Linked DNA regions of Arabidopsis thaliana. The protein of the gene in region 2 interacts with the protein of the main gene of each other region in a pairwise test. Each region holds a gene or a part of one and is shown on either strand. Other genes may lie near its edges.

What was found. Proteins that work in one complex are often made in the same cells at the same time.
Region 1: the proteins of ALF5 (region 2) and AT4G30240 interact in a protein complementation assay, tested with the Arabidopsis thaliana proteins (one large-scale study listed by BioGRID).

The regions. Positions count from the first base shown.
Region 1 is NC_003075.7:14,806,069-14,812,040, forward strand, and holds AT4G30240 (Syntaxin/t-SNARE family protein), read right to left. Parts: upstream 4,008-5,972; 5' UTR 3,678-4,007; coding exon 3,595-3,677; intron 3,388-3,594; coding exon 3,273-3,387; intron 3,173-3,272; coding exon 2,588-3,172; intron 2,513-2,587; coding exon 2,413-2,512; intron 2,311-2,412; coding exon 2,291-2,310; 3' UTR 2,254-2,290; intron 2,168-2,253; 3' UTR 1,821-2,167; downstream 1-1,820. Other genes in the region: AT4G30230 (uncharacterized protein), read left to right, coding at 308-1,090; AT4G30250 (P-loop containing nucleoside triphosphate hydrolases superfamily protein), read right to left, coding at 5,194-5,972.
Region 2 is NC_003074.8:8,452,398-8,460,329, reverse strand, and holds ALF5 (MATE efflux family protein), read left to right. Parts: upstream 1-3,621; 5' UTR 3,622-3,741; coding exon 3,742-4,023; intron 4,024-4,307; coding exon 4,308-4,852; intron 4,853-5,011; coding exon 5,012-5,098; intron 5,099-5,198; coding exon 5,199-5,255; intron 5,256-5,353; coding exon 5,354-5,592; coding exon of another isoform or gene 5,593-5,633; exon of another isoform or gene 5,634-5,666; coding exon 5,667-5,785; intron 5,786-5,864; coding exon 5,865-5,969; 3' UTR 5,970-6,427; downstream 6,428-7,932. Other genes in the region: RNR2A (ribonucleotide reductase 2A), read right to left, coding at 1-69; AT3G23570 (alpha/beta-Hydrolases superfamily protein), read left to right, coding at 722-869, 963-984, 1,160-1,286, 1,510-1,600, 1,723-1,812, 1,901-2,001, 2,138-2,278.

The DNA of each region.
Region 1 (5,972 bases), on a different chromosome or scaffold from region 2:
AGATTTGCTATCTTTCTTGTCATTAAAATTGTATTATTGTTATTACCAACATAATATGTCATATATCGACCTGAAATAATTAAATCATGAGAAATTTGGCAAACGGAAACTTCGGATGGTCAACAATCTACAAATATATGCATGTATATAAATACACCTAAAGAATTCTAACCCGTAAAACAAAATAGTTTCCACTTTAAGTTCTGTAAAAGTATTTGACCCCTCTAGAGACCATGTATATATATGGTGACAAAAATTAATACTTTCAATATCTTCATTGTCTTCTCTCTCTCTCTCCCTAAAAAACATGGAAACTACAAAAAACACTAATCTCCAAAACCCTACTAAACTCCCAAAACCATTTCAACATCACCTAGAAGAAGAAAAAGAAGACGCACTATCTCTCCGAGATCTTCCCCTCAAAGCCAAGAATCCTAATCCCACCACCACCGAAGACCACAAAGAACCGTCAACGGAACTTTTTGAGTTTCTAACCTCATCCTCCTACGACGTAGCTCCGGCAGAAAATATAATCTTTGGCGGGAAACTCATCCCTTTAAACTACCAAAATGCTTTCTTTTCACCTCCTGAGCACATTAGCCGTCGAATCCGTTCACGGTCTGAGTCCTTATCCGCGATACAAGGCCATAAGCTTAACCGTCCCGGTAGTTGTACCGTGGCACGTCGTGACAATGCGGGACCTATGAGGGCAAGCCGCTCTTTAGATTATCGTAAGCTTTCACGTGGTCTAACCACCGTACATTCTCCACCGGAAAATAGTTCATCGACTAAAAACACGGGGAAGCCTGAAACAACGTCTTCGGGAAGTGTAAAAAGTGTAAGGCCAAGATGGTATGTGATCATGTTTGGAATGGTTAAGTTTCCGCCGGAGATCGAACTCAAGGATATAAAGAGCCGTCAGATTCGCCGGAATATTCCACCGGTTATGTTTCCATCTCCTGCTAACAGGAGAGCTCGTGGATCTCGGTCGCCATCACCGTCACCTTCTTGGAGGTTTCTCAACGCTTTAAGTTGCAAGAAGCCCACAAGCGTGGCTGCTACGGCGCCGTTTTGGGTTCCTCATCCATAAATTACTATATTATTCCTACGAACATTGTGCGCGGTTACTTGCTCTGCCGTTGATTAAGAAGGATAGGATCGTCATTTAGTATAAGAAATATCGATATTGTTAATTTATTTTGTGAAAGAATGTCGAAATTGTAATTTATTTGGTGAATCGATAATAGTTTGGACCATAACACATCTTATTCACACCTTTTTCTTTTTCTTTGATTTTTTCGTTATTTTGTATTTCAGCTCATTTAGAATATTTCAATATATATTTTAATAAAATTGTTTTTGAAATTGAATTGGTTAGGTGAGGAATGAATGATGATCAAAAGAAGCACGAGAAGGATATGAGAAAAATTTATTACCTTACTTTTCCCAATGGGACTAGTCGATTTTTAATGATTTAGACAGGAAGTTGTATCATTTTTTAGCATTTATCTGTGCTTCGAAGTTCATGGTTGATAAATGGTATGATCAAATTCCATCTTGAGAGACTGTGACATGCACCTTTCTTTTGTCCAGAGACTTCTAGATTCGAAAATTATTAGACATTTTTCTTTCTTCATAAATCTTTTTCACCATTATCATATGTCTATATGATACGACCTAATATTAAGATTTTTTACTTAGCTTAGAATTGACCTAAATTGGTACTTTTGGGCTGTGACACTATTAGTGATGAAAGAAATTGAGACGTCAACTATAATGCGCATTTTAAAAGAAAGTAAGACAATGATTGGAACAAATGACTTGCCAAGTAAGTGAAAGAGGACAAAGAATGTTTTGTTCCAAAACAAATATCTGAGAGACAAACAAACACTGGAGATATCATTGAGCACAAACACGCATTGGTTTCCTTTAGGTACACGTCTAAAGTTTAACGAAACGTCGTAGCTTCAAGTTTTACAAATTGATCTTACAAATTTACAGGTTCCTATATGTTCCCTGAGGATTAAGAGAGAGTAATAAATCAGGCTTTGTCCTTCATTTGAATCTTGACAAAGTCTTTTAATCTCTCCTCCTTCCCTCGAAGGATGTTGAATCATGTAGCATCTAACGAGTGTGTAACCCAATACGCAAGAATCTGTGAAAAAACCTGCAAGATACACGAAAAGGATGTAATGTTTAAAGATTGTTTTAGAAAACTTGGAGTTCTGATTTAGAATCTAAAATATCATTTACCTGTCAATGTTTCTTGAGAGTTTCTGAAACCGCGGTTTTAAGTTCTCAAGATGAATACTGCAAGGGTATAAACAAGGAATTTGATTCAGTTATAGAGAGTAGAGACTGTCATGGAACAGTGGTGTGACATAACTCATGAGAACCAAGAGAAGGACTCACATAGAAGAATCAAGATTAGCGTTAAGGAAAGAATGAGCTTAATAGGGCGGCTCAATGGAACGCGAAATCGTCTTTGATAAACCTTGACTCTGTCAAAGAGCTGCAAAATGATAAACAACTAAGACTTATGATCCTTTCTAATAGTGTAGAGATGATCCAAACTGCAGAAGCTTACCTGGTTATAATCACGACATCTCTGCAGCCAAAACATAGGTTTAGCTCCTTTCTCTTTAGGAGTGTCTTCAATATGTGATAGGAACTTCTCCCTCTCTTCTTCTTTTGCATTAACAGGGACATTAATCCTCAACGCACTGATATTTGGTACATTTGGTGAACTCCATGTTCTTCTTGTACCGCCTTTTTTATCTGCACTTTCCGGACTTCCTATGTCGTCAATGTCTATCACACAATCAGGACTGTCGCCATAACATCTACCCTCTCTTCTGCCATTGATCCCACGTGGATTCTCAGCTACAGAACTCGTTGAGGAATCTCTCAAGTTGATGCTATCACTGTTTAAACTCTCTGACGTCTGAGAAGATCCAGATAGAAACATGGCGAGATCATCACGCTCTTCTTTGTTAAGATCCACCCAACGCAAAGGTTGTTTCCCATTCTCGCTTAACGACTCTAGCAGAGTAGATTCCACTTGATAAATCTGGTTTTCAATAGCGGTAACAAACTGTTTATGCCTAGTTAAGGTAGTGTCATCTCGACAATTTCCATGGCTTAAGCTCACTGCCCTCTCAAACTCTTCCAACTGATTCAAGTCACAACAATATAACCAATATCACTAACACACTCATGAGTAACCATGAAAAAAAAAGGGAATGATCAAAGGACCATTGATTGTTTCATACCTGCCATTTAGCAGTGCTCAAAGCAGCTTGGAGTTCTTTGCAGAGCTCGTCTGATTCTACGGATACTCGACCGTCTCTCTTCTCTTTAAACCACAACCTATACGCAGATTCCATTCTGGAAATACAACACAAATAAGAAACAAAATTTCAAATTTGATAACTCAATTCCTTCACAAAACACAAAGGTTCTCACTTAGACCATTCTAGAGCCAATTAGTCCCCTAAACAATCGAAATACCCTATTTTTCAATTGAAATTCCGAATTCCACCATCACAAGCAACATGAGTCAATTAAACAAACAGAGAATCAAAAAACACATACATATCAGCAGATTCTTGAACCTCCTCAGCTGCAGAGAAAAAAACATCCTTTTGCCATAGATCGAAACTATTCGCTACCATCATCTTCGAAACCACACCTAAACCCTTCAAATTAAAGACCAAAAAATCAACCCGAAAAGATTCGTCGGAATAGATTCTCTCTCCGATTATAATCCAAAATTAGATTCTGCTTCCTTCTCTTCTCTTCTCTTCTCTTCCTTTTTTGCCTTCAGGAGGAAAGAAGGAATTTTTATTTTTTCTTCCTCCAGCTTTCTGTTTTTATTTTTTATTCCTTAAATTCTTCGATATTTCTTTGCTTTCTTCACTTTAAACGTTAATGGAAGATTTTAATAAAGAGGCCTCTCTGAACTAAATTGACCATATTTCACACGTGTTTTATTGTAATTGGGAAATAATTTAAAGTAAGATGGTCTTAGCTGCAGGAGATTACCGCTTGTCAAAGAAAAACATCAAGAATGTCCGTGTTGTTGTTGGGCCTACCGGTTTGCCGCAACATCAATTGTTCGCCAACCGCATTATATTATTATTATTATTCTTTATTTTAATACTCTCTATACAAGTCAAATGCTAATGAGTAAATAAATTCAATAAAAACTCAACGCTAATTTTAACTTTTAGTTTAGTAATAGACAGTAGGAGCAGGACAAATTGAGGTGGCATGTGTAGCGCATGTGATATCAAAATTTTAACTAGTTAAATTGAAATTCATAAAATGAAAACATGTTTTGGTGTTTTCAGTTTTGGAGAGACATGTTTTGTTAAATAAATTTAATTAATTAGTTGTTGTGATATGGTGAAATACCACCTTCTTCAACAAATCCCAACCTTGATTTTGGTGTTTTCAGTTTTAATTAGTTACCAAGACCTGTTTTTGTTCTTATTTAGACATTAACCGGTGGTAGATTCTAGAGATTGGGCCCATAATATATATATATATTTTTTTTGATCAAAAAGATTGGGCCCATAATATAAAACAACTTTTTTCTGATGCAAATCTCTTTGGGTAGGATTGGGCTTCACTACTACAATATGTCAAAAATCAGCGGTCAATATTATATTTAGAAAAAAAAAAAGAACGGATGGATTTTTCAGGTCACTTCTAGTTTGAAGTCAAGTGTTTGATGTGATGATTCTTTAAATGTCACTTCTCGAGTAAATTGTTTTCTTGAACTATAAATTTTGAAATTTACAGGTTTCACATATAACCTGTATAAAAAAGGGTGTGACACTAACCAATTTACAACACCCAAAGTCCAAACGCCAATTCTCTTTTATCTCTTCAAAACAAACGTAACCGACACGAAAATTTGAGACAACATATACAACAACAAAGTGGCAATTTCTGCAGCATTAGTAGATACAAAAGCCAGTTTAGTCTCAACTCTCATGTAGCAAATCTCAGAAGGTTAACTTTGGACAGTGCCTACTTTTGACTTAAGAGTAAACCAAAATGGATAACGTTATATTATATGGTAACTAATCATATATTATAATAATTTTGACTAAACAAAACGGATAATTAAAAACACACAAGAACCACCATTAGATGATGATCCTAGGATAAACAGTCTCTTATCATTCACTTCTCCTTCTCATCTTCTTCTTCTTCCTCCTCTCGAAACCCACAAACCTCTCTGTTTCTTCTATTAGGACTATCCAAAGCTCTCTTCTCTTGTTCTTCCTCTGCTTCTTCTTCTTCTTCTTGACCTTCCTGTTTCTTCTTCTTCAATCCAACACTCTTCCTTCTCTTCACAACTCTCTCCTTCAACACACTCACAATCTCCCTCACCGCCTTCTCCGCATCACTCCTATTCCTAATCAACACTTCACTAACATCAGCCGGAGTAATCTCTGCTTCCTCCACACATTCTTCCATCTCCTTCAAAACAACACTATCCATATCTTCTTCCTCAAGCCTCAGATAATTCTTCAACAGAATCTTCAAAGCCGGAAACTTACAAAAACCCATGTGAACATGCATATCCATCCTCCCACTTCTCATCAGAGCAGAATCTAACTTCTCTATATGATTTGTCGTGAACACAAATATCTTCTCACTCCCACAACAAGACCAAAGCCCATCTGTGAAGTTCAATAGCCCCGACAGAGTCACCGAGCTTCCCGGTTCCTCCAAACCCGACCCGTTTGTCAAACCTGGATCATATTCATAGCTCCCATTCTTCTTTTTGTTCTTTCCTCGTTTCGTCAAACTGATAGAACAATCAATGTCTTCGATGACAATGATAGACTTAGAGCTAGTCTTCATCAACAGCTTCCTCAATTCAGAGTTGTTCTGAACCTCAGTGAGTTCAAGATCGTAAATATCGTAACCAAGGTAATTCGCCATTGCAGCAATCA
Region 2 (7,932 bases):
CATCAAAAGCGGCTCTTCTGATTCACCTTCTTCCATGTCTCTTCCTTGACCTTCCTTAAGCGAACCCATTATCTCGAATTCGTCTCTTAATTTTGAGGTTTTTTTTGATGTGGAGAGAAACAGAGGATTAGATAGATAAGGAAAAAGAAAATGAAAACCCTAAACAAAAACCCTTGGAAACCGACAAGGAACCAACAAAAGAAGTGTTTTTGTTTTGTCTGTTTGGGTGGCGCACGCAAAACGATTCCTCGTGATCTTCCGACGTGATTTTCAAGGCAACACCTTGTGGAAGGAAGAAAAAATATCTGACCACATAAATTGTGAATTAAACAAAAAAAAGTTAAAGATAATTAGAGGAAGCCACATAAATAATTTGTCAAAAGAGTTTTTGTTTGTTATGATAAAATTGATAATTGAATTAGAATAATCTTTGATTGTTGGGTTTTGTTTTTTACTCTGCATAAGTGCATAGAATCATTCAATCATTCAAGGTAAGGTATTACCCCATTTAGCAAATTTATTCTAAGAAAAATTAACATTGCAAAAGTTAGTTTTTATTTAACGCACGTGAGTTTTTTTAGGTGGAAGAGTAGATACGCACACGTAGTGTAGATAACTGGTGTGAAAGGTCAAAGGTGGTTTGGTGGCTTTACTTTTTAAAACAGAGGTCCCAAAGCGCGAGAGAGGAGTCGTCTTGTTTTTTGGTTCGGCGAAAACAAGAATGTCAGGTCATCAGTGCACCGAGAACCCGCCTGATCTGGATCCAACTAGCGGGTCGGGTCATGTCGAGAAACTCGGTAACCTTGACACCTACGTCTGTGGTTCCACTCATTCAAAGCTTGCTGTTCTTCTTGTCCCTCATGTTTTCGGTAAAAAAACCTTTTTACCTGTCCCAATTACGTTTGATGTTCTTTCTGAATTTGTTGGTTTGATTTGAGAATCTAAAACGTTTTCTTCTGCAGGATATGAAACTCCAAACCTGAGGTGCTGTAACAGAGAATCCCTACTGAATCAGCTTGTCTTTTGTTGATTGTTAGACAGTCTTTTACTTCAGATTCTTTGTTATAATGAGTTATAGTTTATATCACCTTTTATAGTCACTCGAAAGATGTTTCATTCTTGCTGTAACTTGTCATGGATATTGTTCTTCCCTTGATAGGAAACTTGCTGACAAGGTTGCAGAAGCTGGATTCTACGCGGTGGTTCCTGATTTCTTCCATGGAGATCCTTATAATCCCGAGAACCAGGATCGTCCGTTTCCTATTTGGATGAAAGATCATGAACTAGTTAGTTTCTTTTCCTTATTAAATGTTCAATCCTCAATTTTTCTCAAAAACATAAATGAGTCTTTGTTTCCCAGCATGAAATAGTCCAAGTATCCCAATAATCCCTTATTATTAGTGCCAAAATGCTATCACTACTTATTGTTGATTGCAAAGCTAAGATTAAGTCAGTGTTTTTGTACTGTTCTGTGTCAATGTATCTGAAACCAGACTATGGATTTTGTAGGAGAAAGGGTTTGAGGAGTCAAAGCCAATAGTGGAGGCCTTGAAGAACAAAGGCATAACTAGTATAGGAGCAGCAGGGTTCTGTTGGGGTGGTGAGTTCGGTTTTCTTGTTCCCATCATCACCACAGTTTTATGAAAATGTTTTCCATGATCTGTATAATAAGTCAACCATGTATATTAGTTAACACAAGACTTTTTGTTTCTTATTCTTTAGCAAAAGTTGCGGTGGAACTAGCTAAGGAAAAGCTTGTTGACGCTACTGTTTTGTTACATCCTGCTCGCGTTACGGTGGATGATATCAAGGGTATTTAGATCTTTGATATGGCCACTCCTTACTTGATAGTTCTCTCTCATTTGTTGTGATTATGACTCTCACTATATGATTGAAGCAGAGGTCAACCTTCCAATTGCTGTATTAGGAGCTGAAATCGATCAAGTGTCTCCTCCAGAACTTGTGAGGCAGTTCGAAGATATTTTAGCTTCTAAACCTCAGGTACTTTGCTTAGCTCTATGTCTTTATGCAAGGTAATATTTTCATTACTTACAAAAACACAACTAGTAGTTGATGTGTTTTTGGAAGTAGATATCTTCTTCAAGTAGATAATTGTGAGCAAAGTGATATGTTTCAGGTGAAGAGTTTTGTGAAGATATTCCCAAGATGCAAACACGGTTGGACTGTTAGATACAATGAAAATGATCCATCAGAAGTTGAAGCTGCAATGGAAGCTCACAAGGACATGCTCGCTTGGCTCATCGACTATCTCAAGTGAGAACTTGAAACGGTCTAAGCTTTGGTTTGCACATAACCAGCGGAGACCCAAAATCATGTCTAGTACTCTTTAAATAATAAATGTAACTAGTAGTATCTTCTTTAATTTATGTTGCTTTGTCATGTTTGTGGCTAGTGTTCTCTGTTTCGTTTCAGTCTGAGAAACATCAGTTTGAGTTAAACTTAAGACGTTCTAGAAATATCTTAATGTTCCTTTGGACCTTAAGCCTATTTATGTTGTTGATATTGAAATAAAGACATCCCCAAATTCAGCTATATAAATCTTTCTAAATTGATTTTTCTCTATGACTAATGAATTAGCTCTACTTTAAAATTCATCTGCATTACGATTTTTTTTGTTTTTTGAAAAATCGACCTCTTAGTAAATCATAAAACCTTGACAAAATTAGCAATTCTCAACTAATGTTTAACAGATAGTTGTTAGTTTCACCAGCTTCTGTTTAATTATTAATTTGATGATTAAAAATAATTTTTTTTTCTAAATATGGATTCTTGTATTGATATTTCAGATAATTATCTGTCTTTGTTGGTTCTAGTTGATAAGTAACCATGGTTCAGAAAAAAACAAGAAGATGAGTAACCATGAATCTGACTAGAATTGGATCCTAGTACTGGAGATGAGCTGTAGAATCAGATAAAAATTGTAAACAAACTCTCTTCCAAAAAAACAGAATCAGATCAATGAAATAAACGAGGCATGTTTGTGAGATGGAAACTTCTTCAATCTTATGGCATCAGAGTCCTCGATTTCACGAATCAGATACAAACATAAATATTTGCTCAGAGGGTACCATATCTGAACTCTGAGTTTGAGTATGGAAAACGTTCTTAAATCTAAAAGTTCTCCTATAGATTTGGTAACTAGGTGACGACGTCTTTACGATACTCTCTCTAAATGTGACTATACAACTAATGAAAACTTGTAAAAAAAAAAAAAAACTCAAATACAAATTTTCATTAGTTTTACTTTTGTATTTTAATACCAATCCTATGCATGTCTTGAAACAGGTGAATTGTTGTAATATAGAAATATTTCTTAATTGATGAAGTTTTGTTATTCACAATTTTAACGATAAGTTAAGTCCAATGTTCAAAGTTTCCTGAGGTGGTAATCGGGTGGTCATGACTCATGAGCTGCCTGATTATAGTACATTGCAAATTTAATTGGTTGACTTTTTAAGTCATCATTTTGTTTTAAGATTATTGATTCTGATCCAAAAATAATTAGTCTGAGGATGTAATAAATTGAATCTTTTTTGGCATAATTAAAAAATGTATTTATATTGCATTATAATGTGGCAGTAAATGGCAGAGAGGCCTCTTGTGTTGGTATTTAATATCCTGTTTCTGCGTACATCTCTTATTTAATTCCTCACCTTGCCAAATCACAATTCTCCTCTTCAAGTCTTAACCAAACCCAAAGTCCTTCAACAAGAAAATCCAATGGCTGATCCGGCAACGAGTTCTCCGTTGTTGGATGACCATGTAGGTGGAGAAGATGAAAGAGGAAGGAGATCAAGATCATCAACTTTGGTTCAAAAAGTGATCGACGTGGAAGAAGCAAAAGCTCAAATGATTTACTCTTTGCCAATGATACTCACCAATGTTTTCTACTACTGTATTCCTATAACTTCTGTGATGTTTGCTTCTCACCTCGGTCAACTCGAGCTCGCCGGTGCCACCCTTGCCAATTCTTGGGCCACCGTCTCCGGTTTTGCCTTCATGGTACCATTATTTCCTTATTTCTTTAGCTTTTGTAATTTAAAATCTTGTTTTGATGTCTACTTGCAAAAGTTACTAAAACCCACTTATTTCCATCTCAATAATAGACTCGAACTCGAATTCAAGAATCAAGATTGTTTAAAATGATTTATTCGACATAAATGACTAGTAGATGATTTTAGGAGTTGTCTAAATTTTTATTAACGACATCTTCAAGAACATTTGGCCAACGGTATATATGTATAAGTGCTTGTTTATGACATACATTAATGTCTCTTTGTTTTCAGGTAGGGTTAAGTGGATCACTTGAGACATTATGTGGACAAGGCTTTGGTGCAAAAAGATACAGGATGTTGGGAGTTCATCTACAATCATCTTGCATCGTTTCATTAGTTTTCAGCATCCTCATCACCATCTTCTGGTTCTTCACAGAATCGATTTTTGGACTTCTCAGACAAGATCCTAGCATTTCAAAACAAGCTGCACTCTATATGAAGTACCAAGCTCCCGGTTTACTAGCTTACGGGTTTTTACAAAATATTTTGAGATTTTGCCAAACACAATCGATCATTGCTCCACTAGTCATCTTCTCGTTTGTTCCCTTGGTGATAAACATTGCTACCGCATATGTTCTTGTTTATGTAGCTGGGCTTGGATTCATTGGTGCTCCAATAGCTACATCTATTTCATTGTGGATAGCTTTCCTTTCGCTTGGAACTTATGTGATGTGTTCAGAAAAGTTTAAGGAAACATGGACTGGATTTTCGTTGGAATCATTCCGTTATATCGTAATAAACTTGACATTAAGCCTCCCTTCTGCTGCTATGGTATGGTAAGTATATATGTTTCTTGACCGTTATATCTAGCCTAGTGGTTTATATTAGTCAATGTAATCATACCCGGGGTCAAAACCAAATAGTACATGTTGACAAAAAGAAAAAAAAATATCATTAGGCTTGTTGAAGCTTAAGAGACTATATTGTTGCAACAGTTTGGAATATTGGGCATTCGAGATTCTTGTGTTCTTGGCAGGAGTGATGCCAAACCCGGAAATCAATACTTCTTTGGTCGCTATATGGTAAAAAATATATATTTTTAATATCACTTTTTTGGTAGTTAATGTTTTTTTTATCTATTATATCAAATTTCTCAATGTGTGTTATGTTAAATAAATTCAGCGTCAACACGGAGGCGATTAGCTACATGTTAACATACGGACTTAGTGCAGCTGCAAGGTTTGCTCATTTTACTAGATAGTTTCAAAATACTTTGTATTCCATCTTGCTGAAAAATATTGTTTCGGAAATGTAAAAATCGAAAATAAATATTGCAGTACGCGTGTGTCCAATGAACTTGGAGCAGGAAATGTAAAAGGCGCAAAGAAGGCGACCTCTGTGTCCGTAAAGTTGTCTTTAGTTCTTGCTCTCGGCGTTGTAATTGTTTTACTCGTAGGTCATGATGGTTGGGTTGGGTTATTTAGCGATAGCTATGTGATTAAAGAGGAGTTTGCATCATTGAGGTTTTTTCTTGCTGCCTCTATAACTCTTGATTCAATCCAAGGAGTTTTATCAGGTAAAAGATCCAATATATATTTTTTTTTTTTACTCATCTAGGGTGGTAAAAATCATTGTTAAATTTATTTACAGGAGTTGCAAGAGGATGCGGATGGCAGCGTTTAGTCACGGTTATAAATTTGGCGACATTCTACTTAATTGGAATGCCGATTGCCGCCTTTTGTGGTTTCAAGTTGAAGTTTTATGCCAAGGTATTGCTTGATTCTATAATAAGATTAGTAAATTTTGTTTGATTATGTTATGTTTGATTCATTATTTTGATGGCGACAGGGTTTGTGGATTGGTTTGATATGTGGAATATTTTGCCAATCATCATCTCTTTTGCTTATGACAATATTCCGGAAGTGGACAAAGCTGAATGTTGCTACGGTCTGAAAACTCTAGTTACGTTCCATTTTTCTACGGAGGCACATTTATTTTCTTAAGCAGATATGGAATCAGTTATCAAGATATATATTTGGAACTCATGATCATTTTCCAAACGCTTAGTTAAGATTTATCTTTCTTAGTTTTCTTTTTATTCTTTTGGAGTGTAAGGGAAATAATCTGGTTCACAAAGTTGGTCATGGCTTGAATATTACAGCATCATTCTAAGCTATCTTTGAAACCAACTTCTTCTTAGTTGCGTTCTTCAATTTACTAGACTAGTTTCGTTATCGTCAGCAAGAAACTTTTCTCATTTTCTATTTCTTTAATTCCTCGTCGTTTTACTATTTTTGGCGATTTTTTTGGCATATTGTGCTAAAATCAGAAATTTTGATGCTTTCTATGTAAACTTATTTCTCTTGCTTAGTTACACACGTCTGGTCTGGTGTCTCCATATTATCCTGTTTGCTTTCTGGCAATGAGCTAGCTTAAATATGAGATCTTTGTCCACACGTTTTCTCAAAATAATAGCTTTTCTGGCCATTAATTTTGATAGAATCTATCTCGTCTCTTCGAAATAATGATTTTCTATCTATCTCGATAGGATTGAATCTTCATTTAAACCATCAATTAGTAGAATGCTCAGACAACTTTCTGGCCAGATTAGTCAGACAACGTGTGTTTGGACTCTCCTATCATGTTAAGTTTCATGGGATTCCAACTCAAAACCAATTGGTAATTAATGAATTATCCAATGTCTTTTATATACTACTCAAATCTTCTCTCATCTTTATGATGTGTGATCATTCTCCACAAGATTAAGTTTGATCATACAGTTCATTTAGGCTTTTCCATGTCCTAAAGGAGGTTATGGCCGTTATGAATTTACTTAACACAAATCTAATAAGTTTTCCATTATTTAGCCATGAGGCGATGCTAGGATGATTAGTAAGCCTATTACATAATCTTATTTTCAGATAGAGTTTAACATAATTAGGTGATTGACTTGAATAGAATCTACGAATGCCATCAATTGATTTACTTGACACTGTTTCCATAGAAGTTTAACATAAAACAGTGTCATGAAACTTAAGTAGTTGTTATTTGGTGGGCTAAGGAATAGAATCTAGGATTGTGCTTAATTAAACCTCGTTATGTCACATGGTTCGATCTCATCTATTGTTTTGCTATGTTGAACTTTCGTGATACAAATCTTTCTAATTTTGAACTGAACTTCAATTCCTAATTAAACTCGTTTTTTTGTGTTTCATTTATTCGTTAATGTTAGTCGTCTTTTGTGTTTCATTTATTCGGTCATGTTAGTCTTTCCCTAATATAGTGTAAATTCCTAGTTTAACAATAGTTTCACTATAGCACAATGGTTAAATTCATCTTGATTGATAACTTTCCTAAATTTGAAATCCACAAACCAAATTCATTGCCTATCAAAAGAATTCGTCTCTCATATTCGATCTGTGGCATAAGAAAACTTTTTTAAAAAGAAATATGTAATTATTTGTGTAAAAATATATACAGTGTAAATTCATTGCTTATCAAAAACATCCGTTGTAGTACAAGGGTTTAATTCATCTTGATTGCTGTTTCTCTAGTTTAATCGATTGATCGCTTTCTAGGTTTGAATCCTGGCAGCGGAAACTTTTTTAATTTATCTGTTGTTATTTGTGTAAATATATATACAGTGTAAATTCATTGCTTATCAAAAGATCCGCTGTAACACAAGGATTTAATTTATCTCGATTGTTGTTTCTCCGGTTTAATTGATTGATGGCTTTCCGGATTTGAAAAGTTTCCGGGATCGAATTTCGGCACTAGAAAACTTTTTTTAGTTTTTTTTTGTAATTATGGGTTTCAATAGATAGATATACAATATATAGTTTAAATTCATAATTTATAATTCTCCCCTTACAAAAGATTAAAATTTGGATTACATTTGAGAATAAAGGGGAGAAGC